Caenorhabditis elegans: one gene and its partners. The protein of the gene in region 2 binds, or shares a complex with, the protein of the main gene of each other region. Each region holds a gene or a part of one and is shown on either strand. Other genes may lie near its edges.

The links.
Region 1: unc-52 (region 2) and unc-97 share a complex: the UniProt entries of both Caenorhabditis elegans proteins name them as parts of the integrin containing attachment complex.
Region 3: unc-52 (region 2) and unc-112 share a complex: the UniProt entries of both Caenorhabditis elegans proteins name them as parts of the integrin containing attachment complex.
Region 4: unc-52 (region 2) and pat-2 share a complex: the UniProt entries of both Caenorhabditis elegans proteins name them as parts of the integrin containing attachment complex.

The regions. Positions count from the first base shown.
Region 1 is NC_003284.9:5,590,936-5,596,938, reverse strand, and holds unc-97 (LIM domain-containing protein unc-97), read right to left. Parts: upstream 3,807-6,003; 5' UTR 3,778-3,806; coding exon 3,635-3,777; intron 3,579-3,634; coding exon 3,466-3,578; intron 3,416-3,465; coding exon 3,295-3,415; intron 3,248-3,294; coding exon 3,095-3,247; intron 3,044-3,094; coding exon 2,800-3,043; intron 2,756-2,799; coding exon 2,631-2,755; intron 2,573-2,630; coding exon 2,425-2,572; 3' UTR 1,974-2,424; downstream 1-1,973. Other genes in the region: sulp-2 (STAS domain-containing protein), read left to right, coding at 1-167, 226-332, 387-459, 511-778, 828-1,003. UniProt on the Caenorhabditis elegans protein: Component of an integrin containing attachment complex, which is required for muscle development and maintenance. Probably function in adherens junction.
Region 2 is NC_003280.10:14,680,668-14,687,712, forward strand, and holds the start of unc-52 (Basement membrane-specific heparan sulfate proteoglycan core protein), read right to left. Parts: upstream 3,790-7,045; 5' UTR 3,630-3,789; coding exon 3,427-3,629; intron 2,879-3,426; coding exon 2,724-2,878; intron 2,638-2,723; coding exon 2,399-2,637; intron 2,223-2,398; coding exon 2,040-2,222; intron 1,675-2,039; coding exon 1,524-1,674; intron 1,136-1,523; coding exon 1,026-1,135; intron 657-1,025; coding exon 476-656; exon of another isoform or gene 417-475; coding exon of another isoform or gene 308-416; intron 266-307; coding exon of another isoform or gene 18-265; intron 1-17. Other genes in the region: hhat-1 (Protein-cysteine N-palmitoyltransferase HHAT), read left to right, coding at 18-265, 308-416. UniProt on the Caenorhabditis elegans protein: Component of an integrin containing attachment complex, which is required for muscle development and maintenance. Probable structural role in myofilament assembly and/or attachment of the myofilament lattice to the cell membrane.
Region 3 is NC_003283.11:14,689,918-14,699,110, forward strand, and holds unc-112 (Protein unc-112), read right to left. Parts: upstream 6,738-9,193; 5' UTR 6,713-6,737; coding exon 6,630-6,712; intron 6,212-6,629; coding exon 6,147-6,211; intron 5,153-6,146; coding exon 4,885-5,152; intron 4,646-4,884; coding exon 3,468-4,645; intron 3,398-3,467; coding exon 2,994-3,397; intron 2,400-2,993; coding exon 2,235-2,399; 3' UTR 1,945-2,234; downstream 1-1,944. Other genes in the region: gasr-8 (uncharacterized protein), read left to right, coding at 1-627, 1,098-1,265, 1,744-1,944; set-5 (SET domain-containing protein), read left to right, coding at 9,053-9,193. UniProt on the Caenorhabditis elegans protein: Component of an integrin containing attachment complex, which is required for muscle development and maintenance. Probable regulator of cell-extracellular matrix adhesion. Required during initial muscle assembly to form dense bodies and M-lines.
Region 4 is NC_003281.10:8,816,592-8,826,294, reverse strand, and holds pat-2 (Integrin alpha pat-2), read right to left. Parts: upstream 7,397-9,703; 5' UTR 7,394-7,396; coding exon 7,221-7,393; intron 7,174-7,220; coding exon 6,936-7,173; intron 6,890-6,935; coding exon 6,766-6,889; intron 6,449-6,765; coding exon 6,037-6,448; intron 5,974-6,036; coding exon 5,744-5,973; intron 5,495-5,743; coding exon 5,019-5,494; intron 4,963-5,018; coding exon 4,826-4,962; intron 4,734-4,825; exon of another isoform or gene 4,642-4,733; intron 4,602-4,641; coding exon 4,407-4,601; intron 3,933-4,406; coding exon 3,221-3,932; intron 2,764-3,220; coding exon 1,927-2,763; intron 1,464-1,926; coding exon 1,317-1,463; 3' UTR 1,021-1,316; downstream 1-1,020. Other genes in the region: F54F2.9 (DnaJ homolog subfamily C member 1), read left to right, coding at 1-318, 379-688, 832-940. UniProt on the Caenorhabditis elegans protein: Required for muscle development probably through the regulation of the actin-myosin cytoskeleton. Component of an integrin containing attachment complex, which is required for muscle maintenance.

The DNA of each region.
Region 1 (6,003 bases), on a different chromosome or scaffold from region 2:
GAATAACGAGTGCTTGCTTCATGGCACTTGTGATTACAACAATCGGTCCTTATCTAGCATCACTTCCAAGTTGTATTCTGTCAGCAATTGTAATTGTTGTCCTAGAATCTATGTTGAGAAAGTGCACAGTACTACCAGGACTTTGGAGGTGTTCCAAACATGACTTCGTAGGTTTTTAATCACTTAAAATAACCCAAAATAATTTTTAAACCAAAATAATTTCAGTGGATTTGGATCATTACTGCTGTTGTGACTCTAAGTTCCGATATTGCGCAAGGGGTAGCTGCTGGAATTTTCACGGCAATTTTTACAATTGCAATACAATCTCAGCAGTGAGTTTGTAGATTTAACACGCAAAATTGACATAGCTTTTCGACATTTTTCAGACCTACGATTAAACTTCTTGGGCAAATCCGACCAAATGATTTTAGACCAATGAATCACTATAGCTTGGCAAAGGTAAATTTAATTTCCCTCTGACAACTTTTTTCCAAAAACTTATTTTTCAAGGAAACATCGTTCCGAATCATTAGATTTGATGCACCACTGATTTTCGCAAACGTTGAGAAGTTTCTCGATAACGTTCGCGATTCGACATCAGCCACCACAAAAAAGAGAAGCGCGAGTTGCGATTCCCAAGAGGATATTGAGTGGAGTGCAATCATTCTTGACTGCCACACTTGGATTTATACGGATTCTATGGGGATTGCTGCGGTGAAGCAAATTAATGAAGAATTACGACAAATTCGTATACTCCTGTTGTTTGCAAATCTGAAGTGTGAGTTTAAAATTTTTAAACAATTATAACCTTAGCTGGGATATTTCAGCATCACTCCGACGACAATATGGAAATGCTGGCCTGATTGGAGAAGGGAATATTGGAAGAAATCAAATGTATCCCTCCATTCAAGATGCGCTGGATTCTGCTCACGAATTAATTAAAAATCATAAAATGTTTTTTGATTGCGAGAAAAGTATGCCGCCAGAAAAGATTGTGCCTTAGAATACATAGATCATTATTTATCAGTTTTATCAATTGATCAACTTGTTAATCATATGGGTCATAATATGTGTAATTATTGGGTCAATATTTGAAATTTTTGTTAAACTTGCTCATGCTTCAAGTTTTCAATAAAGTTACCGTAAATTGAGGTTTGATTTTAGATTTTTAAACTAATTAGATATTTGTCAATAAATAAAATTTGGAAAAAGATGGAATAACATCTATGGATTCTTTGGTCTCAATGACTGGAAAAAAGTTGCACTATAATAAGCACAACAGTTTAAAAAATCATTGAATTTTTCTGAATTTTTTAATTAATTGTTAAATTTTGCAACAAAAAAAAATAGAAAGTATTGAATTATTTTCCCATACCCGCGTAACTAAATTACCTAATTTTGATATGTTTGTTTTTTACAGTTGTGTCAGTTTTTTGTCCTTTTTTGTGATTTTTGAGTAATAACAGAATCTTACAAAATTTTAGACTTTTCCACAAAAAAAAACCAAAAAAAAAATTGATAAAAAAGAAGAATTTTGTTGGAAATTCTTCAAATAATCGATAATTGAAAATTTATTTTTTAACGAAATTAACTTCTTGGAAACTGAATTTTTTTTGTCATTTTGAATTTAAAAAAAAATCATCGACTCTATTTCATCTTTATGTAAAATGATCAAACAGAGTTTGCTGAGCAAAAAAACGATGAAAGTCGTTTTTTGTTGGAATAGCCCAATTTTTCTTTCACATTTTGAAGCTTCAACAAATAAATTCCCAAGAGAATTTCAAGTGCAATACGATCATTTCTACTGGCTCATTCGTATTTTTAGAAATTTCACAAACATTTTGACACTGGAAAGTATAATTCTCACTTAACACGTTTCAAGTTGAACCAAAAATATCTCTCCGGGCGCTATGGACTCACCTTCCTGTTGATCACTGATTACAAATTGATTGTTGATGCCGAAAAAAAGGATTCAATATTACAATACGATTTTGTTTCAATACAGTCAATATTTTTTTTCTGAACAAAAAAATAGTACAAAAATTCAGAAATCAAGTTATGCAATAATGACACCCGAGAAAAGATGCAAAGTTTTTGCGGATAGGAACACAAAAAATTTGGTCGAAAGTTATGATTGTTTTCAGAAGGCTTCTGAATCAAAAAGTAGCTGGGAAAGGGAAGGGGAAGGACAATTATGGAGCTAGAAATGAGTACAATGACATTTTTGTGTGACCGAAAAATAGTTTTGAAATATAAGGCATTTAAAAGACAAAACGGATTGATAACAATTTTCACGATGTTTTTTTTTAGCACCAAGGTATTAAAAACAATGGGAAAGAGAAATGAGCAATGGCATTTGGAAAGTATTACTTCTTTAATGGAAATTGATGAATTACGGGGACTCCTTTATTTCTTTCTTTTTTATTATTTTGGTCCAGGACTCATCGATCTTCTTTGATTTTCAACGTCGCGGTCCTTTAAGCTTTCTGAGATGCGCTTTTTCAATTCTGTGGGGAACCGATCGTAACATCGTTTGCATGTTGGTTTCATATCGAATTCATAGAATTTCGTTCTGCAATGCATACATTAATTTGTTTTCATCAAGTTCATATGAATAGTTTTGCACTCACTTCTGATCAAGTTTCTTATCACAAAAACTGCAGGAGAAACATTTGACACACCACGTTTTCTGAAGAGCTTGGAATACTTCCCCGCAACATGGATCTCCGCATTTGAAACAAAGATTTCCGAATAACTGCAACAAACTTATTAATGTTTGCTTGTTCATATTTCAAGTACCTTGTGGAAGTGCTGTTCGCAATATGGAAGTCCCTTTCTCTCGTAGTGACGATGTCCCAAGAATGGCTTCTCACAGACGGAACAGACAAAGTGCTCCACGTGCCAGTGCTTGCCGAGTGCCGCGATGACACGCTCTTCAATCGGCCTGTGACATGCTCCACAAATTGGGATACCCATGGTATCGTGGCATCTGAGACAGTAGAGCTCTCCGTTTACTTCACGAGAAGCTGTCGTTAATTCATTGCTGAAAATTTTTTAAATTCAACTCATACTGTAAAACAAGATAAATTCTTACTTGCAACGTTTGCACTTAAAGTGATAAGGATGGAATGAATCTCCACGGAATTTGATGTGTTGTCCATCATCAATCATTGCGTGGCATTTGTGGCACACATATCGTCCATGACCTGCTGCCTTTTCCCGTTCGTTACATTCGCGACAGAGAGCTCTGAAAATTGAAATTCTTTCGAGCTTCGTTTACGCTCTCCAACTTACCGTCCAGCGTTCCGTAAAAATCCGACATCGGCCAACTGTTTATTGCAAATCTCACAACAGAAACATCCCGGATGCCAGCTGGCATTCATTGCTTTAATCACTCGTCCAACGATGAACTCGTCTAGAATATAAAACATTTATGGCTCTGCGTGTCTTCTCAAAGATACTTACTGCATTTTCCACAACATGGTGAGAACAGAACATGGAAGTCATGCTCGCAGTACTTTCGTCCTTCATACTCAAAGTAGATGCCGTCTGGGAATGGCTCAAAGCATTGAGCACATCTAAAAATTTTTTTGCAATTTTTGAGTTCTCTTAATTCTAACTTATAAAAACTTACACAAAACACTCCGAATGCCATACTTGCCCGGAAGAGTTCACCATCTGATCTTGCATCGAAAAACCATCATTACAACGGACGCACACCATGTTCTCGAAGCCATGGGCGAGATCCCCGTTGATATGGTTGTGGTCGGAATCCATTCCGCCACACACCATCTATTATTGAACCACTGAAAGTTGGCCACTATGCACACAGGATGGTTTAACGACCATGGGTTTGTAAGGAAAAAGGTGGGGGTAGGAAAGAAGAAAAGAAAGCGAGCGAGTAATATGAAGACAAATATGTACAAACAAGGGAAAGCCGGAGAAAGCATATAGTGTGTATAGGTTAGGTATGTTGGTTAATCGAAAAGAGCACAAAAAGTCAGAATTTCATATCTACATTTTGTTATATGCAAAGTAAATTTTTGCATAAACACAGAAATTTCCATATTCTAAGAATCGTAAAAACACTGGAGGTATTATACGAGGGGGCTGTGAAACAGTAGAAAAGAAGAAATCCTCAAGGAAGAGGCAAATGTGCCAAAGGTATAGGATGCGACGGGTTGACATATGTGTAAGAAGAACTCGGAGGCGGTGGCGTGGAAGCTTTTGCCATTGCATTTTGTGTAAAGAATGAAAACGAACCAAGAGATAGAGATATAAGTGAACAACAAAAGTATGTGTGTGAGTGCTGCTGCACAACAGATTCAACAGGATGCCTCAGCTTCCCTGACTAACTCACAGAGGGAGACGTGTATCCGATGTGTTGATGATCAGTATTGATTGGGAACAGAAAAAAGATTCTTCAGAAACATCGGTTGGGATATCGTGTGTTTAAATGGGAAAAAATTCGAACTAGTTATTTCGATTTTTTTTTGACTTTCTATGTACTACTCTACATAACAAAATTCAGTGAAGCGGCACATTTCACGCTTCAAAATGTGATACATGTATTACACCAGATGTTTTGAGATGCAACGGAGGAAAGCAACAATGCTTCTTTTGTGGTGTTTGCATTTAAAAATAAAACTAGTTGTAAAAATGAAACCAAAAATTCAATACAACTTCTATACGGCTAAACTATAAAGTTTTGAATTATATTTAAACATAGTAATAGTTATAAACAACACCTTAAAAATGATAATAGTTGTTGAAAATCAACTTTCCTCACACAGTGATATGGGCATTTACTGGGCAAAAAGAAAGTGCGCAGAATGTACAACTAAAAAGAGTGGAAGAAAGCGAGAGGCAATGCGCGCGCGGCGGGTTGGCCGACAGCCAAGCGGGGGGTCACAGACTACGGCCGCAGACGTAACGACTCCGGGAAGAGTGCGCGATTCGAAGAGACGCATACAATCGGGTTGCGTGCGTAGGGTCACATTAATAGCCAAGTATTGCTGCTCGTTGATACTCGGAACAGGCAGGAACAAGCTTTTTCTAACACATGTTTATAGACAGTTGTGAGAATAAGAAAGGATCATCAGTTTAGATATGAGAAATCAAAAGACATGGTTGAAAAGTACGAACCCCGCAAATGTTGGCAGATAAATGTTCAGTATCTGACCTTCGTTTGTGTTTTTATATTCTTACGACTGGCCTTGATCATGAGCTAGTATCATATATCAGGATGACAAAAATCCAGAAATTGTAGCTTGAAAACAATGACTAACTTTGAAATGATGACATTATAGAATGAGGTCCTCTGCCAGTAGAAATGCCTCCACCTGCCAAACAGCTGTGCGCAGTGTTGAGAAATACCACCGCTTTTTCTAGAAGATCGTAAACCGATAACAGAGGTTTTTGGACCGACTTTTTTCGGAGCAGTGTATAAATTCTAAACTGAGTATTTTATTACACAAATCTATAAGTTTCAAAGTGAGTTTCTACAAAATGAACCAGTGTGGCATGTTCTCAAAATTTTTTAATTGAAACTCAGTGATATCGAAAAATCTTTAGCTTGTCTAAAAATATTTTTAATTTCAGTTGGAACAATTTAAAAAGTGCTCACAATTAATCCGAAAGTTAAAACATCAAATGAAAAATCTTTCAAAAATGTCCTATTTTCCCAACTAAAAAAATCTTATTTTCAGAGAAAGTAAGTAGTTTTCCATATTCTGAATTTCCATAAAAAAGTTTGTGAGCACATGCCAAACTGGCTCATTTTATAAAATAGTTGGTCTACAGTTGCCACGAATGTCTGGTGTTCATCATCCACATTTGAAAATGTTAGAAAAATATTTGTGTAGATCACAATTTTTCAATTTCCTTTTCTTGAAGTTTTTCGTTTCATAGTTTTATAGCATCTTCCTGTTAGTGAAAACTAGCTTGAAAGGGAAAACTAAACATTGAATTGTCTACACAAACTTTTTAAAATTTCTTTTAAAA
Region 2 (7,045 bases):
TATTCCATCTTTTCTAGGTCTGGATAGGATTGAACATCTTGGCCTTGTTCATCGAGATGGGATCCAAGGCGATCTACACAATTGAAAGTGTTCGAAAGTGGCGGGAGGCTAATCTATCTGACGTGGCGTTCCGTAGAATCTTGGCGTGGTGCCACATTCTGCCATTTGCCATCGGCCTGTACTCCAACTTTTACTTCCTTGGAGGTTCAGATGTTGGAGCGGCATTTGTGCAAAGATTTTTGATAGAAGAGACTATTACGTTTAGGTGAGAAACCATTAGTTTAATGAATACTAAAATGAATTTCAGGTGGCCATTCTTATTAATTATCAGCTTGGGATGGTTCCATGCAAATACCGCTATGGAAGTTGATAGGCTTAAGAGCCTGGAAAAGAGCAAAAAGGAGAAGAGTAATTAATATTTGATTTGCCAAATAAATTCTGGTTCAATATATTTGTAAATAAAGAATAAACTAACTAGAAATGGAGCAACACAGTCCAGCCACACATTCGGTCATGGCTGGGCACACCTTGTTGGACCAGCAATAACTCGAGCCGTGAAGACTGAACTCGGGCTCCGAGCCATCTTGGCAAACTGCGTTGACCTTTACGTGGTGGACATGATGAGGTTTGTAGGTCTTGCGTGGATGGGAGCATTTCTGGAAAATTGAAATTTAAAGGAACTTGAAATTAAAGATTGCCTTTGAAAACTCCTGGAGTAATCCCAATTGTCTAAAAAAATGCAATAAAGGCACCTTTTATCAGGAGTGTGCGGCAAACGATTTTTCTGGCAAATCGGCAATCCGGCAATTTGCCGATTTGCCAGATTTGCCGAACAGCAATTGCCGCCCATTCCTGAATTATTTAGTGCATCTACAGTAATATCTTATAGAGTATCCATACAGGCTCTGGAATACTACTGTATTGCAAAAATGCGGTCTTTTTGTGGGTCCAATGTATCCCTACGATTTCCCTACTGTAGTTTCACAGTACAACTTTGTTGAATTTAAAATTCCCCAACCCCTTACCTTTTCATCAGAACCATCATGGCAATCTTTCCATCCGTCACAGACGACGACAGTTGGCACACAAACATTTGTGGACTCGCATCGGAACTCATTCGATTTGCATTGCACTTCTGTAATAAGTCAAGTCGACGAAAGATTTTCTCAAGCACGGAGCACAATTTTTCAATTTTTCCTTGAGCATTTTCTCCTACAAGTGTGCGAAAAACAAAACAAGTGTGCTGGTCAAATGTTTAACTATTGTTTCTCCGAGCACACACACACACATGTGTGTGTGTGCTCTTTTCGTCCCCTCTCACCTTGTTGGAATAACCGGGTCTACTGGCTGCTTTTCAACTAAAAATTATTGGAAATGAGTCATTGATCTATCTTCCATTTTTTGGTACTAGTATTTTTCTCACAATGAAAAACATCAATTATTACATTCTAAGGAGCGAGGTAGTATCTAGCACCTATTATAACGAAATGTTCAATGTATTTTATGACTAAGAGGCCCCCTACCAGAGCAATGTTCCTCGTCATCACCATCTGGGCATTGAACTCGGCGATCACAGAATTGGGCGACTGGAAGGCAATGTCCAGATTTACAGGCACGCTCCCCGCTTGGGCATTCGTCGGATTCGGTGGCGACACGGTCGGAGGTGATGCGGACCTGAAATTGAACATTTTATGAATAGCTAAAAATACTGTAAATGGAAATTGGTTCTGATCGGTTTCGGAATAATGAAAAATTTTGATTTTAGAAATTTTCAAACATATTTTCACTTGTTTGAAGTCCTTTAAGTTGAAACACAATGTATCAAAATATGCAAATCGGAGAAGAAAAATTTTTTAAAAAATGGACCAAAAAATTCATGTGCAAATATAATAGTCGTTGAACCTCTCAGTTACAGTTTTGCCAATATTTTTGGAAATTTAAAATTTTAAAGGAAGTTTCAAACCATCAATGATAGCATATATGGAAACCCCTTTCTTAATATTTTTCTCAAATTTCCTGAATCACTTTCCAACGCTTACCTCAAAATCAGCCTCCACATTTATTCCTTGCACAATCATTTTATAAGTTCCATCATCTGCGTCGGTGGCGTTGATGATATGAAGATGATGTTTGTCTCCTTTTTTGTAAACCGTCACACGCCCGTCTTCTGCCAAGGTCATCGAGCCAACTCCAAGAAGAACGCTGTCTTTGGACCAAGCAATCTGGAATAATCAATAGTTTTACACAATATTAAAAGATTTTTCGGAGCATTACCTCAATTCAAAAGTCAATTAAGAAACTTTTTTTTTAATTATCAACATAGCTTGGAATTAGAAAATTAAGCATAGCCTCCAATCATGTAGACACTTTTTTATAATCAAATAAAGTGTATACGAACCTTATTATCCTCTACCGAACTATCAATTGAAGCCGAGAGATGGATGGATCCATGTTTCTGAGCGAAGACAACTTTCTCAGTTTGATGGATGATTGGTTGATGCTGCTTGCATTTTCCATGCTCCTTGTGCTCATCTGATCCATCTGGACAGTTGCGTCTTCCATCACAACGTTGATCCGCCGGGATGCATGACTTGTCAAGGCATGTGAATTCTGTGGTGGCGCAGGCTATTGACGAGTCTGCAATTTTTGGTAAAGTAAGATTTTTCAGGCGACTGAATAATTTTAACATATAAAACAACACACAACAACACACAACAACACACCTCTTACAACATGAAGCTCAAAACCCTCATCGGAAACCGTAAGGTTCCCAATTTTTCCAGACTTTATCGCGGACAACAACACATCAGACACCAGTGGTGACTCTTTTTCAGCGTACAAATCCACGTAGACAAGAGATCCAATGATTTTGTGATATCTGGAAGTTACAACAACATATAGGTACACACACATGTACATACATACGCATGTATTTACACAAAATACTCTATTGTTGACTTTCTCTCGTGGGAGGAAGCGACCGTTTTTTTTTTGTTAAGAATTATCAGAAAACATGACATTGGAATTTGGAAGAATTATTTGAAAACTTTAATATATACTTTTTAAAATTAAGCTGCAGAAGTATGCCTTCTAAATTAGTATTGTTGAATTTTGAATGACCGCGGACTCCGGACCTCGGACTTCGGACCTCGGGCTTCGGGTTCCGTTCTCCGGACGATGGACTCCGGGCTCTGCACTCCGGACTCCCAATTTTGGAACCCGGGTCTCCGAACTTGCGGATTACGGACTCTGGGTTATGGCCCACGGGCAACAGTTACGGGTTTGGATTACGGACTGATGGACATTTTGTAATTTTAAGATTCCGCAAAAAAGTAAATATGTGGAAATTAGGGGAGCAATTTTAGAATTTCTTGAAAAGTGAAAAACGCCCAAAATTGTCGATAACCTTTTTCACTCAAAACTCACTTATAATCGGCAACCTTAGCTGTATGCCTTCCTTCTAGATCCTTGACCAACTCTTGAATAGAATGAGCTATATCTCTAGATGTGCTCACGAACTCATCGCTCTCAACGTTCTTCAACTCCTGAGTGTACGGTAGTTCGGGAAAGTTGATGGTCAACCGGTAGATGACCGTCAGTGAAACGACGGAGAACAGCGAAAACGCCATCCCCCCTAACTAGTTGACGGGGGGTATAAATGAGCAGTAGGTCAGTTTTAAAAAAAGAAAGTAAGGAGATAGAAGGTTGCTAGACAGAGGCGCGCGCTGACCGTCGGCGGCGGCGAGGCACAGCGGCACAGTTGCAACTTCTTAGGCCCCGCCCACTTTTTTAGGAGAAGCTTCCACCCTCCTTCTTCTCTAACTGAATTTCTTTCCTGACTCAGGTAAATATTTGCATTTTAGAGCCGCCTCTCTTGTTGCGCCTGCGCGTCTCGCAACTAGCATAAACACATCACACACACTCACACTCACTCACACACTCACATACTTGAATAGCTTGTCATGCACCACGTTGGACGGAGTATCATGGTATATAACCGTCTCATAATATATAATATAGATTCGCATGTTTCTTGCTTATTGTTATTATATTAGACGCGGTTGCCGCTATTGGGGGTGCAAGTTTGAAAAGAGCTAGAAAATTTGGTAGCATTGGTGTTTGAGAAAATATTTCCAATTCTAATGCGTTTCTGGCCATTAGCTGACAGTAACCAAATCATACAGTTCTCATGTATACTTTCTAAAGCAATTCCAGTGTGTTTAAGCTTCAAATCTAGCAGTCCTCATTTTATGTAAAACTACATAATTTCCAGAAAAGTACAAAAATTCAACAGAACATATAAAATATGTTGATGTTGCATGAATACATAGTTGCAAAACCACAATTTTCCTAAAATTTTCAATTTTGGCAACTGCCAAAAATAAAATTTGTCGGCCACTCTCTTGATACAGAGTGAATCCACAGTACCTGGCGTTTCACGTCAAGTGCATTTGAGTGTGCTACCATAGTCTTATCGAAAGACTTTTGTACATACAATAAACCTAGCCACTTCGTGATCAATTCATGAATTTCAATTCAAAACAACTCTATATTGCAAATTTCTGAATTCTAGGATTTTTCTAGGAAGGCGGTGAAAACCATGTACAAAGCTTCGCCTTTTTCAAGTTGCTCCGGCCCGCGTGCACTTTTGATTTCATTTGGCAAAAAGAGTTTTTGTTGCAATACCCGCCCAAACCATCATATATCCTGTCCAAACAAAATATCCCCAAATCTTTTCCGACATACACAGGTCGTCGTCATCTCATCACTCGACGAGAGTTCCCCGATCATCAAACCTCATATTGGTGGCTCGTCTTTTCCGTCCGATTTTCACATCCTCAAGTGTTTATAAATAGAGGAAGAATCATCTCCCAGAGGTTATAGCTTTGACTATATATATTTCATTTTCCCATACCTTTTATAATCACTGATATCGCCACCTCACCAAAGAAGGTGGCGAAAACTGTCGAAACCTTCCGATTATATAAAAGTACCCCCACAAATATTGACACAACAATTGGACAGTCTTCAAGCCGATTTAAGGGAGGAACGGTAGCTGCTTGGAATGGGGGTAGTAGGTTAAAAGGTGAAAAGCGGCGAGGAAAAAGAGTGGAAAATTGGTGGAGAGCTGGGAGAATTGTTTGCTGATTTTCGCACTATCCCTATACTTCTTGCATCTAAAAGTGCAAATCTTTTGGGGAAAGCTGGTGAAAAAAATTGGGAGTTAATTAGAGGAAAAAACAATTGGAACAAACACAAAATTTTCAAGAGAAAAAATATGATTTTTTGAGTACAGTGAGTAAATATATGAAAGTGAATAAAATTTTTTTAAAAATGGCAAAAATAATTTAGCAATTTTCGAAAAAAAAAGTTTTTAAGCCCAAACAAAACCATAACACAAAGCATTTTGAAAAAAATACAGACACACTTAAACTAAAAAAGCAGGCAAACATATCCCAATGAGGAGGGGGCCACCCAACAAACGCAACAGGATGAATGAGATCTATAACCGGGAAGAGTTGTAAACTAATGTAAAGGCAATTGTTAGCGCGTTAGGAAATTGTCGCATGCATACATTACACACCAGGGGTGGGCCGCAAATAATTTTTTTTCTCGGAAAACGGCGAAACGGAAAATTGCCGAAAATTAAAGTTCCCCGCAAATCGGCAAAGTTCAGGAAAACGAAAAAAAAGTGAATTTTTTGAAAAATAAAATTTTCGGCAAATTTTGGCTTTGCACATTTTGTCTCGAAATTCAGTAAATTCTATTTATGTAAATATCTAAAGAAAACGAAAACAAATTTCCAAAAAGGCAGTTTTAAGTTGTTCCGTCTTATAAAAAATCTCTCTAAACACTCCGGCAAATGGCAAATCGGCAAGTTTTCCAAAATGAAAATTGCTGGCAAATCGGCAAACCAGCAATTTGCCGAATTTGTCGACAATTTTAAGGTACAATAACCCACGAAATCGCAAATTAAGGTGCAAAACTGTCAGAATATGTTTGCCTTATTGTATTACTGACTACACTTTCAGCAATCTTTCAGTTTTACATGATTTTTGCCAACCTTTTTCCCTCATTTCTACACAAACAATTTCGTCGTCATCAAAAATCCCCTCAATTCTTCCTCCAAAAAAGTGGACAGATAATAAGCACTTTTAGCGGAAAAAAGACGGACTGTGCAAATAAAAAAGGACAGTTGTATCCCCTCTTTTCAATTTTTGAAAAAAAAGTTTCCCTAGGTGCAAAAGTTCTCAAAACAAAAAGTTTGCTTACCAAGTGTCCATAGACTTGATAGCGAGACTGGCGCCGCGTTGATTGGATCGCAACAAAAAAAGATAATAAATAAAAGTTCAAAAAGTATAGATATTCGCATTTTGGTTCGCACGCATTGAAAAGTGAAATATTCAGAGGATAATGTGGTTAGGCATTCAAAGTTTCCGTGGATTGTAACATTTCAATTTCGGCGAGACGAGGTGTGAGAGGGGGCTCTAATGAATGACTGATATGTGTCAGACGGGATGAGTGGATGTGCACATTGTTGTTTGCGGTGAATTAATTCAATGGGATAATGGAATTGGAGGCGAGATCACTTAAGTTAGTGAGTGAAGTTTTTCCTCTGTGGAGTTGAGCTTGGAAATTTTTTGTGATAGAAAACAATATCCATGTACCGAATATGAATGTTTAAAAAACTAAAGGGCTCTTTGTAATTTGTTTTCAATTTTGCAACAAAAAAAATTAGAAAGCTTTATTATTTATGACATCCTTTGCAAAAGAGTGGCGTAGTTCTGGAATCTTTTCTCCTTTCTGTGGCAATATTCAAAAATTTCCAAAAATACGTAATTTATTTGCAAAGAATTTAACAATGATTAATAAATCATGTGATTCGGTCTTTTTTTTTGCAAAATTAAAATCCTTAAAAAATTAGAAAAAGACCATTGCTTTTTTTACAGTTACCTATATTCGGTCCTCTAAACGAATACTGGTGCCTCCGTGTAGGTACAAAAAAGCCTGCCTGGCTTCTAGTATCAACTTTTTTCTATAGCCT
Region 3 (9,193 bases), on a different chromosome or scaffold from region 2:
AAAGACCGCCTGAAAGATCGAGCTGATAAGTTGAGTGGAGAATTGACAAAAACTAGAGTGGAACTGAATGCAGCTCAACAGGAAAGAGGAAGAATTCAACAATTCTGGAGAATAGCTGAAAATGGATTAGGAGAAGAAAGAGAGAGAACAAGAGACGTAGAGAAAAGTATGTTTGATATGAAGACACATCAAGCAACTCATATCCAGAAATTACAACAAAGAATTCGAAGTTTGGTATTTCATGCAAAAATGCATAGAAATGCTGGAACACAGTCAGAAGCAATTGCTCCAAGTGGTGGTCTAGAAAGTGTTGAATGTCAGACAATGGAAGAATTGACAAAAGAGAAAGCAGCGAATATCTTAAGACAATCTGATGATCTTCTAGTAACATTCATTGCGGAGCTTGAAAAAGAGAAGTTAGAAGCTCAAAGTGATTTGAAATATGCAATTGTGCATTTGGAGCAACGAATGAAAGAGGAACAGGAGACACAAATGCAAGCGATGAAAGAAGAAAGAGAAATTGAAATTGAGGAAATTGGATTGAAACATATGGAACAGATAAGGACAATTGAATCTGGAAATAGTGAGCAAACTGCCATGATGCAAGGAAAAATTGATTTCTTGCAGGTAGGAACTCTGAATATTCGATATTTTAGATTTTGCATTTAAAAAATCTAACATTCTGAAATACCACAACAGAAAAAAAATCTCAAAATAGTTAAAATATATGATTTGAATTTCCTCCACAGCGAGAACTGCGACCAATCAACGACTCGCTCCGCCCACGTTTGAACTAATCAGATAAAGTTTGTAACGTTCGAAGATTCTGGTTGGTTCGAAAGCGGGCGTGGCTTCTCGTTTTGGAGGGAATTAAAAACCAAAATTGTCAAATCACACTAAAAATTAATATTTGAAATTTTCCTCTATTTTCATCGTATTTATTCTGTCGTATTTCTGAATTTGAGTCTATTTTGGATATTTTTAAAGCAAAATAAAAACCCCCTGTTTATAACGATATTTGAATCATAAGATCAATTTTTTCAACTAATTTTTATTAAAGTATTAATTCTTCATAAAAACCATCTTCACCATTCCAGAGCGAAGTTTCAAATCTCCGTGATCTACGTGATTCAATATCAGCGGATCTCATTGATAGTCGCGAGAAACTCAAGGATCAAGCCGTCCTACTCGGCCAAAATCAAGCAAACATTGATGAGATGAGCAAAGAAATCGCGAGGCTTCAGGATTACAAGAGGAATTTTCAGGTAAGAAAAGGGATGTACGTATCATTCGTGAAAGTTGCTTGATTTGCTCTGACAAATTGTTTAACTTTAAAAAAAACGTACAAAACTAGTTTGAAAAATAAGAAACAATTCGATTCTAAATCGTGAAAAAACAAATTTATGGGCGAAGACTACATTCAGATATTTTTTGCTGTTGCTTGAAAATTTTGTTTCAAATTTCTTGATACTTCTTGAACATGTTTTCACATGATTTCAATCCGTTTGAAAACAAATTTTTAAATAACGGGATACAAACTTATTTGCTTTTTTTCTATCAAATTTATATTGCCGATATGTTTTGTACTATTGATTTTATATGGTTGAATAGAACAGATTAAGGATTCCTAGGTAGTTAGGTAGGTAGCTAGATAGCAGAACAGTGCCTGCCTGCCTTGTACCTACGTTTGCCTACTACCAGAAAAGATGGAAAATGACTATAATTTCCTGATTATTATTCCAGCGAGATATGCGAAACGTTGAGAATATGAGGAAAGAAGTTGAAAAATACAAGGAACTCAATGATATTGTGATGGGAGAATTTGAAAAACTGGAAAAAGAGCGAGATCAGTTGCTGATTGAAGTTGAACGAAACGTTGGAAGACTAGAAATCAGCAATCAACAAAAATTCGAAAAGCTCGAGGAACGCGGAAGAAGATTTTAAATGTTTATTCATCAGTTTTTATTATTCAATTTTTATAATATTTTTCAATTTTTCTCATACAATTATTATTAATCCATAGATATGAAAAGGCACATAAAACTTTTTTTCGATCCGGTATACTTGTCTTATTAAAACGAAAAATTATTTGGAAGAGGGGAAGGGGGGAAATGAGAAACAAGAAAAATGAAAGAAAACAAATATATATATTGAAATTTTGAAACGAAAAAGATGGAATTGGAGCCTAAAATTAAAATTCTTTGGTTTGCAAAAGATTATAGAAATTTAAATATCTAAGCCCATCCTCCTGTAAGTTTGTGGAAAAGTTCTTCATCAAGATTTTGAGAATGTTCTTTGCTTCGCATTGACAGGAAAATGTATCCACCGATGAACTCGTGAACGACTTTGCAATCAGCGGAAAGTGGCTTGAATTCGATATCCTCATCTTCGAATTGAATCTGGAAATTGGGGAGATAGGATGATAAAATAGTATACTCAAAGAAAAAAAGTAATTAATTTCAAAAAGTTTGTTCTCGGTTATTTTCGGGTTTATCTAAGCCTTTTATGTAGGCACAAAACAGATTTTAAAAATTTATTTCTAAAACGCTCAAGGTGCAACGCTGGCATGTAGGCAAATAGGCATGAAGTCTGCCTACCTTCCTGTCAGCACCAAGTTTACCGAAAAAGTTTCGGTCTTTGAGAACATTATCTGATTTAGATTTTAAATTACCAAAGACCTGAATTTTTTAGTAAGTTACGGCGAATAGACTTATGGATAGAAAACAACAATTGAATCAAAAACGCAATATTATAATTTTTGAAACAATACAAAGATTTTTTGAAAGCCAATTGTTCTTTGTGTTTAGATATACATATTAGGAAAGATTTTGAGATGAAAACGTAATTTCAAGACATCACAAAATAGATTAACAATCAGAAAGTTGTTACAAGAAACTTAGATGAATAGGTCTCGAAAACGTTCTCAACATTTTGCAATTTTTCGATTTCCGATCATGTCCAGATCTTAAATATTTTATTCATCAAAAACTAACCTTGAGATGTCGAATTTCCCAGTTGACATGCCACTTCTTCATATTTGCAAACCTCCATGTCTTCAGACTTTCTCCATTATCCATATTCAATTTTGCAAGTCTATTCACAGCAACAGCCACCAATTCCGCCTTTCTAGCATTTCGGAATCTTACAATGAAATAATGAATTCCGTGTTCGGGAAGTGCTTGCCATGCTCGGATATATTGAAGTTTCGCTTCGGTTGCCGTGAGTTGTCGAACATTTCCATGAGCATCTGATACTCGCTGTTGAATTTGTTGCTTGCTGCGTGCTCGTCGTACGTATTTCGACGATATGTACTCATCAACATTGAAATCATTTGGTAGTTTTACAGCGGCGGCTTTTCGCGAAGCTGTGTTGCTGTTTCCGTTTTCGTTTCCATTACCTGAAAAATTGTTTCATTCGAAGAAAATAATTTCATTATCACTTATTAAATTGTAAAATCAACAACTTACCACTTTGCATCTTGAGCAAGTTTTTGATGCTCTCCACCTCCTGTTGATATGACGAATCAGCCATTGACTTCCCTCTGGATGCTAACCGACACGCAGCCATCCACCTGGCATATTGATGCTCGGAATCGCATTTCAAAATGAAGTCAATCATTCCTTCAGCAGTTGGAAGTAACAATTTGATATGATACTTCTGCTGTCCAACTGAAACATCCTGACTAACTTCACATCCCTTCAATGAGAAGTGTCCAAGTGGAGCTGAGTTGACATCTGAGGAGCTTTGATGATATGATAAATATAAGTCACGGAACGAGAAGAATGCCCGTTTAAATCCTTTGAATGCTGCCAATTTCTTTGGTTTCATATATTTCAAATAATCTGCTAACTCGGGAACTTGTGTAAGATCTGATCGTCTGTTAAGAGCAGCTGCGTCAAGGTTTTGCTCAAGCTCGTCCAAAAGAATATCCACATCATCTTTATTATTTTCTTCAGGTTCAGGAGAATCTCTTTGCAGGGTTGCTTGAAGTTGAAGAGCAGCAAATAGTGTGGCTTCTTCCTCTGTGTGATCGAATTCATCAAGTAAAATGCTCCATTTTGCTTGCTCGTAAAGTTGATTAATTCTCACTGGATCATATTTTGGATTCAAATCAAAGAAATTCATAAATTTGAATCGTAGTAAAATAATATCTCCTTCAAAAATTCCTTGTTCCATAAGTGATCTGCTAGAATCAAGCCATCCTCTATTAATCGCAGCTTTTTCCACATAGTTCTGAGGTCTAAATACTGGAGTATCACGGCTTGGAGCAAGTCTTGGTGAATGAATAAGAGCATCATCAAATTGCTCATTTTCAAGTCCTTCACTAAAACTGATGCTTGGCATAATTGGTGTTCTTCTCATCGTATCGTTATATGCTCCTGGCGATGGACTGACACCACGTGGCAATGTTCCGTGGCGAGGAAGAGTTCCCATTTCGTGAGCATTGAAAATGTGTCCAGATTGGGAGAGCGCGGGTGATTGACCACGACGGCGCATATCAAGATTCGATTGAGAAGCAAAGATTGGAGCAGCTTTACGGAGAGTCATTGGTCCAACTGATTCTTCTCCTGGACGCATTGAGAGTGGACCGTTCATGTTGTCGGCGTCAGATGTTCCACGTCGAAGATCCTCTGGTGGAATATATCTGTAATATTTTAAATTATATGATTTTGAATTATTGGGTTATTTCACATGCTCGGTAGTAGTTAACTTTTGACCTTGCTCAAACTTTTGGGGCAGGATTTCGATCAGGCATAGATTTTCCCTAGTTGCTTAAGATTCCCAAGGATCTTCAATCCTCGTTCAACCAACTAAGGAATTTCACAACTCCATTCTTATTTAAATTAAAAATAAAACATCAAAAACTTCCCAATTCCTACTTACCTCTTCAAAGACAATTCCTCTGAATATCGAATACCCAAATCACGGCACAATTTCTTTGTTGCTTTGAATGAATTTACCGAGAAATCAACTCTCGCATCAATCATTTGCATATCTGGTAACTGAATTCTTGCTTCTTTATGCATTGGTGTGAACTCCAATTGTGTTTCAGCTGTAATTCCATTCTGGTCAAGAGTCGATCGAGTATGTTGAAGCCATCGCCGCTTCTCCGGCCACCACAGAGCATGATCAGACCAATCTCGTTCAACATCTGGAAAAATAGAAATATTTGGAGTTTTTTAGATTCTTGTTTCAATACAGCTGTTTTGTAAATTGTTTGTTCAGCTGAAGCCCAAATGATTACATTTTGAACTTGGAAATTAAACACATTGAGCACACAAATTGTTATACCCTAATGCAGAAAATCTTCATCCCTTCAGCTTCTGCAAGTTCTAAAAATCGCGCGAAAACTTAATTCCAAAACGTTTTTATGCGCCTCTCCTATGCGCCCTTTCTGCTCTTGGTCATGATGAATGCCAGTTGCTTCTCAAGTTTTGATACTCTCTCCTGGGACCCCCTATCATTGTGTGCTCTTATATCTCTGCAAGGAAAGCCTCTAAACTTTATGTACCCAACAGCGAATGTCCCATCCGAAACAATCAGCTTATGTAGATGCGCACGCGTGCACTCGAATAGTCAACATTAACAGGGGTTAGGATGAAAAGAAAAAGAAGAAAGAGAAGAGCAACTGGTAGGAGATGAGAAGAGCCCATAAATATTTGATAGGTTCCGCATAGTTTCTATGATGTTTCAAAATGTATAGAGGACTTCTTGTCAACTATTTCGGAGCTCACAGTCCCTAAAAAATTTCGTGAAGATCTCTCAAAAATTAACTTTTTAATTAAACTGTTTTATTCAAAATACGAATTTTCAGCAAACTTGAAAGAATTGTACGAGAAATTTTTCACTTGGCGCACTCTTCAAGGGCTCCGTTACGATGTGTTTCCAAAAGTGTTCCCTATCTTTCCAGAACATTTTTTTCCAGCAGATTTCAACATTTTCCCATGCCTTCAATTTTTACTGATATTGAACATCATTTCGTAATGGTGCACACACCACGTATCTTTTCGTTGTAACAAACGCGTAGGCGCACACAGTGGCAGATATATCTAACAGATTATATTGAGTAGAAAAGAGAGAAATCATGGTCTATTGAGATCTTTGAGATCTTGACCGAGGTGATAAGATTCGAAAAAAAAACTCACCGCATTCGCTAACAAGTTCGAGCATGAGTCCTCCCACATTAAGATTTCCAAGGACAGAGATGCTTCTGGAAGAAATAAATACATTTATTGGAAATTGGAAGACTCTGAGTTTGAAAATGTCTCATTCATGTTTGGAAAAAAATTTAACCGGAATCTTCTGAAAATTTAGGCTAGGGTTTAGGGTAAGGCTTAAACTTAAGCTTAAGCTTAAACTTAGGCTAGGCTTCGGCGTAGACTTAGGCTTATTCTTATAGTTAGTCGTAGACTTAGACTTAGGCTTGGGCCTAGGATTGGTTTAGGCTTAACCTCAATCCGAGAATAACTCAATTATCACTTATTCTGACAAAATGACTTGAATTCAGAAAATGTGCATTGAATCTTTTTCTATAACTTCCTGCAATTGCAGTTATTTAAGAACAACTGCTAAACATGCAGTACTATTGAAAGTTAATATTTTCTAAATATATAATTTTAAATCCTCACCTTTGAATATTCAAATCGGTGACCAAAATTGGCAATTGCCATTTTCCATCAATAATCGAGGTTCCTTCAACAAGATGTGCCATGTTTGAAGTGATTTAGGTAGAACCACTGAGATATTTTAGTTGTTGGAAAGATTAGCAAATTATAGAAACAGTGTATTTTCTCCGTCCACGGTAGATAGAATAGAAAACAAAAAAAACCGCTTAACAACAATCAACAAATCAATAAAAAAGCTATGTGTGGGAGAATATCAGGTAGAGAGGAACGTGTATACAGAATAAAATAAACGAAAAAAGAGGCTAGAGAACATTGAAGAATGAGAGAATGAGAGAAAAGACTGCCGATGCGGACGAACAAACGGACGGCCGGAGCAGTACACACTCTTCGTCTCTGACTCACAGCAACACCGTCTCTCCGCTTCTTTTCTCACTCTCTATCTCTCTGACTCCCTATCTGTATGTTCCAAAATGCAATGAGAGAGCGAGAGAGAGTGAACAGTTGTAGAAGAGACGGAGAGTTGAAGGACACTCGGCAGGCGGCTACGCGGGAATGGGAAGGAATGACAGTAGGCGATGCTGCTGTAGATGAAGGAAAAGAAGAAGACAACATTACACAAAGAGTCCCGTCCCCCGGCTGGCAGAAAGATTTGGCAGAAGAAGGAGGAGGAAGATGCCAGGAAGCAGCTTCTGAAGGGACATTGGACATGAGAGAGAGAGAGTAAAAGTATAGGATATCACGGGTAGTTGGGTATGAATGGAGAAGTGCAATGAAATGGAGAAAGGTGTATACTAGTTTCTGAATTAGAATATCTGGATAATGTGAACATTTGTGAACAATGTGAACTACGTAGATCAATGGGACACTCTAACACCACGTGTGAAGTTCATACTGTGAACACTTGGTAACCTCGTCTTTTATGGTGCAATTGATAAAAGTTCAGATTTTCCACAAAAGTAACTATCCTTTACAGTATATTAGAAATGGTAGTGAAATTTCAATATGCGCTGACACAAAATGCTAACTTCTTGTCCAAGTCTGGCTCAAAAGAAATATAAACTTGGTACAAAAGTTGCTTATAAAGCGTATGCAAATTTTTTTGGCGGCGTTAAAAATCAAACTTTTTGACCTAATCGTTTTTTGAATCGTTTTAAAGTTATATAAGACATTAACAAGAGTTGGATCAAACTTGAAATAAGCTCAGAAATTTTTTGGACGAAGAATTTGAGCACTGTGTATACGGGAACACAAAACTCTGAGAATGCATAGTGCGCAAAATATCTCGTAGCGAGAACTATATTAATACTTAAAATGACTACTGTAGCGCTTTAGTCGATTTACGGATTTTTGAAATGATTTTCTTTTCGAATAGTGACATCGATATTCATTTTTCTTCGTTTCCTCGTATTAGTTTTTAATTTTCGGCTTAATTTCAATATTCAATCGATAAATCAATGTTTCCGAAATTTAAATCGAAATTTAAAGATGTTAAAGAATTACTGTAGTTTTCCCTACGGGATATTTTTTGTGTCAAGGAATAACCTTGTAGCCATTTAAATCAAACTGATATTTTCAGCTATCACTTAACGTTTCTTTGTTTTTATATCCTATGCAGTATTTCTCGGCACGGCACGACATGTTGTCGCGCGCGACTGACAAAAAAATTAATTGATGACTACGGTAGATTGCGAAGTACGCAGAGGCTTTTGCGTACTTCGCCATAACTTTACGAGCAATTGTTTTCATTGTTTTTCAACAATTGCAATCTTATTTTTGAACTTTTTACTCTGTTTTCTTTAGTTTTTTTGGCCAATATTCGATTTATTTGTTTGAAAATTTATATTAAACGTTGAACATCACGTAAAACTTTTATTTGTGTCGGGTTTCTCCGTGAAAAATTGTACTTCATGATAAAAATAACTTTTAATAGTTTTCAGAGCTAAAGTTCGGCATTTTCCTATGTTTCTGTGTTATAAAATCTTGTTCAAAACAGAGAATTATCAAAAAAAAAATCCCGAAAAAATAGTGGATATTAAAAAAAAATCCGTAGAGTCAGACAATTAAAAAAAATAATTTCCTCGCATTTTCTTCAGTGCCTCTTAAATCATCGAGCAAATTGAAGAAAATGGGCCCAATAACTTCACGAATAAGAATTTTCCTTCCCATTAGAACTATCCGTTTTTCAGTGAAGTGCATATAACTCCAAAATTTCGCATTATCCTTTTAAAAAAAACCAACACAAATTCTACAAATGTTCGAAGAAACGGTTTTTTTTCATCTATTTTCATTCCTGCGCTTAATTTTTGTCATTTTTCTGAAAAAAAAAACCGAAAATCTGGTTTCCTCTATGCTTGCAGGCTTATTTCTATTTTAATCCATATTTTCATTGCCAAAATTAATTTGAAATTTATTCAGATCGCATTATAATGAACCCGAAAAACAAATCATCAACAATCATTTCGAAAAACGTCGAGGAGCTGCTTCCGACACTATTCCCCATCACAGAAGTTCGAAGTTTCGGAAAAAAGTGTCGCAGTATCGAAATTTCGAAATCCTATTTAATCAAC
Region 4 (9,703 bases), on a different chromosome or scaffold from region 2:
AAAAATTGATGAAACAAGCACTTGAAGAGTATCTTCCAAAATATTCAGAACTTCTTCCAATTATTCTTGCTAGAGGTACAGTAACCCTCTTCAAAAACTTGGCATTGACTGCTAAAGATGCTATGACACCTAAAGAAGTTGAACCTGAAGAACCAACAGAAGAGGAGTTGGCTCAACAGAGAAGGCAACAAAGAGCAGCAGCGGCACCCCAGCAACTAGAGTTTAAATTTGAAGTGGCTCAAGGTATGAAAGCAGTTTCCACAAATGATCCTGAGATGGAGAAAAAGTATGCAGCAGAAAATGAAGTTGTAGCACAGAGTAAGTTAATTTATCAGAAAAAAGGTTTCTGAACTCTACTCAATGATCTTTTAATTTCAGAACAATCTGGAGCAACATGGACGCCTGATGAATTAGCTAGTCTGGTTCGACTGAGCACTGAAAAATACCCGGCTGGAACACCGAATCGTTGGGAACAAATGGGTCGAGTTTTGAATAGAAGTGCAGAAGACGTTATTGCAATGGCTGGAAAAATGAAACAGATGAAGCAAGAGGATTATACGAAATTGTTGATGACAACTATTCAACAATCAGTACCAGTTGAAGAGAAATCAGAAGATGATTGGAGTCAAGCTGAGCAGAAGGCTTTTGAAACCGCATTGCAGAAATATCCAAAGGGAACTGATGAAAGGTTAGCTTGGAAACTAGAAATGGGTATTTTGAAATTGAGAACGCTCATCCTCCAAGCGTTGGGTTTCGTTAGGTATTGACGGTAAAATTTCTGGGTCCCCATAATATAATATCCAGAGGAATGTTTTAAATATTAAATTTCAGGTGGGAAAGAATCTCCGAAGAAATTGGAAGCAAAACGAAGAAACAAGTGATGGTCAGATTCAAGCAATTGGCTGAGATGATTCGAAAAAAGAAAACCAATGATACCTAGTTTTGTCATAATATTTATTCCGTTTTTTTGTTGGTCGGGTTTGATGAAATTCCAAAATTTATTGTTTTAGACGCGTTTTAAATATTTATTTATTTATTAAATTTTTATTAATAAATTGATGATAATAAAAGAAAAAACATCAAAAATATCGACTAGAAACATGTCAATGTATTGGTAATTAATTGGAAAACAAAGAAACATAATATGAACATATAAAGCACCAAATTGAGCGGAGATTCCGAAAAACGATCGAACATGAAAGTAAGATTGGGGGGCAAGGCACGACAAGAGGACTAAATTGGGACCAAAATGATAATTTTAAAAAGACACCCGCAGATGTGAATAGTAAAGAATAAGGAACAAAAAATGGAAAATATTATAGCATTTGTCCGTGACGTCCCTGATTGTACTGATCTTGTGATGTATAACGGGATTGACTATCAGCGTATTGAGCATTTGGTTGACGGTCGGCACGGAGTTCTGCATGCTCAGTTGGTGGACGATTACGTTTGAAGAAACCACACTGAAAATTAGATTATTATTATTTATTTTCTGAGGGAAACTGTAAATTTGTTTCGAAATTGGTTGTATACTGTAGTCGCTCTGATCTACCTATATTCTACAGTACCCCCGACGTAAGCTCGCCGTGGACGTTGCTGTGAAATTTTCGAAAGCGTGTGAGCACAGCTTTAATGTCGTAGGCAACTTCTTTTAAATTCAGTTTTTCTTAATCTTTGTGACAATCATTTTTTACCTTTCGAAAATGGCAGAGTTTGAACCATAAACTTTTCTCGCGGCGAGGCCCATCCGAATAAATCAATGAGGCTTTGAGAAACCGCTTCACAAAATTGGAAATTAAGATATAATTTTTGCTGCGTCACAAGTAAGCATGAAAGTTGGCGAAAGAACTTTAATTTAACTTGCAAGCCAATATCTATGTTGTTATGTAATAAATCGTATTTTTGAAAATTAAATTTGAAACTCACCCTCCAGAGCAGTAAAATAAGAAGAATCAAAATGGCAAGTCCAATAAGAATAGCCAAAAGATAAAGCCACCAAGGAAGATCTCTTCCTTCTTCAGAAGCAATTGCATTCATATTTGTAGATACTGCTGTTATCAATGTTGGCTTATGTGGAAGATTGTATTTAGTAGATGTGACACGAGCAAGAGCCAACGATGAAATGTCTCCTCCAGGATTTTTCTCATCAACCAATGTGTTTGTGTATAATCTAGAGAAGATTTCCACAAGTACAAACTCGTCTTCTTTAAGATCATAAATATCACATTCAATATGTGTACATCTCAATGAATTACAATCAACAGATGCTCTTGATAGTGGTCCCTTATAATCAACAACTCCTCCAGCTTCCTTCGAAAGTTTAACAGCTTCACGAAGATCAGAGAATCTAGCCTTATCACTTCTTGGTTCACCACGGTGTTCTCCTCCCTTCTTCTTCTTCTTTGGTGTTGGATTTCTTTTAACTCTCTTACTTCCAGCTCTATCAAAATCTTCATCATCTTCCTCTTCAAAATCATCTCCATCATATTCCTGATCGTCTGGAATATATTCATAATCTCCCTTCTTCTTTTTATCCTCAACATATTGCCAATTTCCAGTATTCTGACGAATCTTCTCCTCGTCTTTTTCGTATACATGTACTGGACCAGATTGATGATGAGTTTGATGTTGTGTAGATTGATGACGTGTTGATTGGGATTGAGTTGTTGTTTCATCTTCATATGATTCATCATCTTCTTCTCTTGAATATTCATTTGGTGTCTTGGCAACTGGTGGTTCAGTTGGAACATGCTCATTTGTTATCTGAAATTTTAATTCGTTTTTAATGTGCGACAGTAATTTTTTGTGAACATTTATAAAATAAGATGTTCAGGATTCTGAATTGAAAAAAGTGAAGTTTGTCAGCCCGAACCGGAAAATCAATTTTTTTTGTGATATTTCAGCATATTCGATTGTTTCCAATATTTTTTTTTAACTCGCCGATTCTAAACATTTCAGAAACTGACGAAAACAATTCTTCAAAATTTCCCAAGAAATTTGAATTTTATCCTAAAAATGATAAAGTTTCTTACTTCTATTTCTAAAACAAAATAGTTCCTTCCGTATTTCACTGCAATTTTAAATGTACAGAGTTATAAAATTCAGTGTCTACAGAAATTGGGGATTTGCAACGACTATGAGATCGTGGCAAGACCCACTCAGAAAAACAGCGTGTACCTTTAAAGTAATGTCTAGAAATTTAAAAATTATTCAAACGTACCCTCAAATTCAATGGATTAACATTTTGCAGTTGTTTGACCCGACATCTTCCTTTATTTGGTGGATTAACAACTGGTTCTGTGATAATGTACAGAAGATGACCTCCTTCAGTGGAAAATGATGGCCAGAAGATATCCAAAGTAGCTGAGTCAACCTCAGATGGACCACGATTACTGATTTGATAAAGATGTGAAACAACTGGACCAATTTCATTGTCATCGAAAGCATCTACACGTGTTTTGTTCGTCATTGAGAAATCGACTTGTTCGGGATTTGATCTACCATTCAAACTCAATTGATTCTTAAAATCAACTGGAATAGTGAATGTGACTTTATTATCAGCAACAGTATGAGCTTCTTCATCATTACTACTGTTCACATGAGCATTAATACTGATTGGAGCAAGTGGAGGTTTATCAGAAGAAGCAGTCACTCTTACAACACTACTAACTACTTTGTTAGCTGGAAGTGGATTGCCGAGATCACATGCAAAAGTCCATTTTCCATCCGAATCTGGTTCATCGGAAGTTGGAGAACAAGCTGGAGCAGACTTGCTTCCATCTCCACCAACACTTTCAATTCCACCGTATTCGAATCCTTGTGGAACATCGAAATAAAGTTTTGTCTCATATGAATCTTCTCCTCCATTTTGAACTGTTACATTGATAAGCATTGTATTGTCTTGAGTTCCCAAAAGGAATTTCTCACGATCACTGAAAAAATATGTTTAAAAGAATTTAATTGCTGGCATTTGGTTTATAGGTTTAGGAATAATTATTTTAATGATATGATTTCACTGAAAATTTCGCCGATTCCGTGAAGAAAAGAAACATACAATCTTCGTGGAATTATTTTGACAGGAAAATCCTGAAGCAAACATTTTAAAAATGGCTGTGAACTTGTCTCATTATAAAAAATGTTTTGAAAATTGTCGAGTTAGGTTACATTGTATTTTGTGTTATATTCAATTTTTCTCGCTCATTTCCTTATATTTTTTTGAAAATTTTAAAATTAGAGTAATGATTAAAACATTTCGAGACAAACCCATTTTTTCAATAATTTTTCAAACTTACTGTAATGAGGATTTTCAATGTTTCCCTTTCTTTTATATTCAATGAAAAAATGGCATATTTAATGTATTTTTTCAACACTTTTTATCGATCATTTTGAAAATTAAAAAAACTTACGCAACAGCGGTAACCTTCAAATCAGGAACACAAAGATCATCTTTTCCACAATTATTTGCAATATTAATCTTATTTTGGAATGAAAGTGGTACAGTTGTGTCAATTGCTGGTTCAAGCTTATCACCACGAAGTTTTCCGGTTTTTGATTCAACATATGTGTAGTTGACGGACCAATGAATTGGGGAGAGCTTGTCTCTGAAATTATTTTATTTTTGATTTTTAGAAAACATTTTATTTTCTAATTTGAAGGTTTGCAAAGCATACGAACTATTTTACATTCAAAAATTAGCCTTGAACTTTTTTTCACAGCAGAGCAAACATTTTCTCAATTTTTTCTGATAAAAAAATTTAAAAAGTTGTGGTCATTTTGAGTTGAAAAACTTTGAAAGAAAATCAAAATATTTTCTCTGAAAACTCACTTCATTGTGGAAGAAGCAAAGAATCGATGTCTGAAACACTTTTGTCGTCCCTTCTCAAGACGAACACGTTGTTCGATTGAAGATGGATGGTCTCTTGTTTTAGATCCTTGTGCAACTTTAATGCTTCTGTCAGATTTCTGAAATATTATTATTGTGTTAAAAATTTTTATCTAGTTTTAAAAAAGTGACCTACCACATCTTTTTGCAAGAAATAAGCTCTTGGTTCAGGAGAATGATCATCAAGATTGAATCGAAGATCAAATTCCAAATCATTTGGTGTATCTCCTTTTCCTTCATATTTGAAACATGTATTAATATGTTTGCATGCCTGTTTTCCCAATTTTCCATCAACATCGCAATTCTTATCTTCTACACTGATCAATGCACTCTCTGGTTCAGTTTGTCCCGTGACAGTGACAACTGGTTTTGTGAGTAAAACAGCTGCATTTCCAGATTTCCATGCTCCAACTGCAATGTCTGGCATTCCATTTCCATCAACATCTTCGTTTCCAGTAAGGGAGAAGCCAAATGATTTGATATTTCCATGACCAATATTGGCTCCTTCGATCTTCTGAGTTGGTAGTTCGCGAACACCATCTTTGGATCCGTGGATCACATAAACAGCTCCTTGTTTGTTTTTTCCAGCATATGGTGCACCAACAATTACATCTGAAAAACACTATTTTGTAATTTAAAATTTCCAACAAAAAATGCAATAAATTTCCATAGCGGTTCAAATGAGATTGAAAGTTCAAAATGCCGCACAAATTTCCGATAATCTAGGATTTTTTATGTCTAAAGAAATTGTTAAATTAAGAAAAAGAAAAGTGAAAATACGAAAACTAAATTTGAATTTCCGCGTAAAATAATTTCTGTGAGAAATTCAAATTCGTTCATTTTTAGTAGCAAAATCCCTACCATTATAACCATCCAAATTCAAGTCTCCAGCTGCTGCGACTGCGTGTCCAAATCGTCCCCACTGATCATCTCCAACAACTGCAATCTGTTTTCCAAAGACTCCTGGAGCAGTTTGAAGCATCACAATGACCTTTCCGACATCGTATTGTGGTTTTCTTTCTTGTGTTTTTGCGTCTTTCACGCTACCGTAATCTGTGTAGAATGGGCAGCCCATGATAATGTCGTCGCGTCTGAAATTAATACAGAGAATATTTAGAGAATTGTAATTTTATGTGTTTGTGAATCTCACTTACCCATCTTTATTTACATCAGCAACTGCAACAGATCCTCCACAATATTGTCCATGTTGAGTTGACACCTCATCAGTCAAATTGATCATCATCTTCAGTTTCGACGTGTATAACACCAATTTTCCGTGCAAATCGTTTCCACGTGGAACTCCGGCAACAATATCATCAATACCATCTCCATCAAAATCTCCAGTTGCTGTAGAATATCCCATCATATCGTGATCGTATTCCTTGCTACCGTACTCGGTATTCGGGCGGTCTGTCTGATTTTTGATGTTCTGTGAGAACATTGCTCCTTGCCAATACCACACACCGGGGGCTCCAATAAAAACACGATTTTGATTCTTCTTTCCTGGAACTGCAGCCGAGAATCCGCACTGACCGTATCCAAGACGATGACGACCGTGGCGAGCAGCTGTAATTTTTCATCTAATTTTTTATAAAGTTACCAATTGTTCGAACTCTGAACTATTCCAAAAGGTTCAACAATTTTCAGATTTTTTTCAGGAGCCTCTAGAAGTTTCTAGAATTTTCCAAAAAAATCTCAAAATTTTAAGACGTTTTTAACAGTGTCTTGAGGGTTGCAGAAACTTTTCAAACTATTAAAATATTCCTGCAATTCCTCAAAATTTTCAGAAGTTTCTAGAACTTCCCAGAACTTTCTTTTCTCGAACTCCTTTTTCCAAAACTACAGTACCCCTGCAGTACCAATTAAGTATCCCCAAAACATACGTTCTTGTTTGCACGATGAAAACTCCTCCGCATTATCAAATCCATTTTCAGCATAGAAACAGGTTCCAACTGGCTCAATAACTTCGAATTTTGAGTAGAAATATGTGTATTTTGGAGCACACACCTGGAAATTTAATTTTTAATTTTCAAACTCCGCAGAATAAACCTACCACAATTTTATCATGCTTATCATTTGATCGAACAGTTGCACCAAAGAATTGATGTGATTTTTCTTCAATTGGAACAAGATGTGATCCATTGAGTTTCTTCAAGTTTCCCTTCATTTTATCCACGTGGACTTCTCGGCATGTTGCCCGGTTCACGGAGCAAGCATAAACTGCTCCAGGTCTTCGGATTCCAGCCAGGTTTGGGTTATTGCTTTCAGCTTCAGGGGCACCGACAACGAGGCTGAAATTTTTGAATGTAAAATCTGTTCAGTTAATTCAATAACTTACACAGGCATTCCCTTCTGCTCATGGTAAAAATCGAGTGAGTATCCAAAGTAGTTACCAGCCATGTGATGAACCACTACATTTTTTGTGTCGATGTTGAAGGTGGCAACTCCGGCTAAAAGGCCCAGTAAGCCTAGAAGCAAGCCGATCCTTCGCGGAAAACTACCCTCTCGCATCTACTGGAAATTTGGAATTCGGTTTTTTGAAAACAATCAGAAAGAAGTTTGCAACGAGTATACGGAAGATGAAACGATTTTAGAAGTTGATTGAATAGAAAAAAAATTTCAAAATCTCAAATTCAAAAGTTCCAAGAAATATTTTTGAAAGGGAAAATAAAGAACTTTGCTTGAATTTTAATTTTGGAACGTTTTTCATGTCTAAATGAATTAAATTCAAAGTAGCGACCAATTTCACTGAGATAATTTCAAATTCTCAGTTAACATGTGGATCAATGAAGCCTAATCGGTGTCTTTTCCAAAAACCGGAAGGAAGGAAAAATGGAATTGAACAGAGCACACGCGATTGCGAAACAAAGAACTGACCCTCCGAAGACGACAAGTCATTTATAATTGAGAAGGGAGCTCTACGAGCATTTGACACACTCACATTGAGTCATGAACATATCAAGAAATGAATTGAACGAACAGGAGAAGTGAGCGAACGGAAATTAACGGGGGAACAAAATGACCCGTGACACGTGGAGCAAGATTGATGAAGAAGCAAAGTAAGGAGCAATTCGAATTTTGCATAAATCTCAATATTTGTTGTGTATTGAGCGAGAGCCAACAACAATATTTTCTCAAATGCTCAATTGAACTATTTCAAAATGTTTTGACTGTTGAAAGTTGTTTGCTGGAACCTCTAGCTTTTGAGTTGTACTCATTCGAAAATCTTTAAAATTACCGGAGAACCCTCAAAATATTCAGAATATTGGCTGGACTACGAGTTAAAAATCAGAAATTCGAAGTTTGTGAAAAACGTACAAAAAGGAAATTCCGAAACAAAACTGGCATCTGGAGACTCATAGTTATCCCATGAATTTCCGAAAAATACGATGAGTCAAGAGTCGTTTGAAATAGAGAAGGGAGGAAGGGACACATAGTTTCTTCAGTTTCCGGATAGTTATCAAACATATGTCTAATGGTGAGAGAGTGTGAGAGACGAAGAGACGTAGACATTGATGGAAGCATGAATTGAGGATGAAATTGGGAGGATGGAAGGGGGCGGAGGAAGAGGCACCACTTATTTGGGGACACGAGAAGCAATTAGTTTGGAATCAAGTAGATATGCAGTTACTATTTTTGAAACACCAAAGAGATTTTCTAATATTTTGAAAAACTTGCAAAATTATTATAATAGTAGACGTTCAATCTGACCAGACCAAAATTTGATAATTGAATTCAATTTTTGAACCTACTTGGAATATCAGGGAAACTTCCTGCCAAAATTCGACAATAAGTTGCCACAGATTTTAAAGTTTTTAAAGTTTCAGTTTTCACAGTGAAATCTAGTTAATTCAAGTACATAAATATTGTGGTCAAAAACGTATTGCACCAATACTAATAGAACAAATACGGCACTTTCTCCAATATTTGTAGTATGTGTTTTAAAAATCACGCCTACTTGAAGCCCATCAGTATACGAACAACATTTTATATATTGGTGAAAAGTTCATGTAATAGAGAGTATTGGGATGTGGGCATGAAGTAATTGTCAGTAGAATCCAAGATATGGTTGACTGGTGACTGTTCCCTCTCCGACAAAAAGGTCATGTTTTGAATAGAGAGGAACAAGTGATAAATTGAGGGAACGGGGGGAGGATGAATTAATTGGGTGGTTAGGAGGAAAATGAATTTTTGGAAAAAAAAGATGTCGACAAGATTTAAGGGAAGTTAAATTAGGAGGTAGGTTTTGAAAAAAGAATCTTAAATTGATGGGTCATTTGTGAAAAGTAACGTTGACTAACTAAGCAACAAAAAAATCATAATCCCTTCTATAAAGATTAATAATCTTCATAATAGCTTTTCAACTAATACATGGTGAACATTACCGTTTCATTACAACCTAAAACAATTAAATATTTATTACCGATCATTCTTTTTGATTGTCAAGAATTGCAATCATAGGAAAGTCGAACATTTATAGAATTCAAATCGGCGACGCACAAAGGTATCAATGTTAAAACCAAGCATTTTACTATTATAATAAAGTACTTAATTGTGCGAATTATACGATCTTAGTCAATAAAACAATTTCCAGAAATTTCATTTCCAAATCCAGGAATAATAAATCAAAGAATCCCAAGAGCAGGTGGTGCAGGTGCTCATGGAGCACACTTTTTGAAGAAAGAATAGGGGTCTCGCCGTTGGTAGTGAATTCTCAATGATGCATTCGAGCGAGAACAATTTTTTTTGTTGAAAGAAGAATGTGAGACATTCGGTGAGACAGAGAATATTCAGAGTGTCGAAAATGAACAATATACTCTT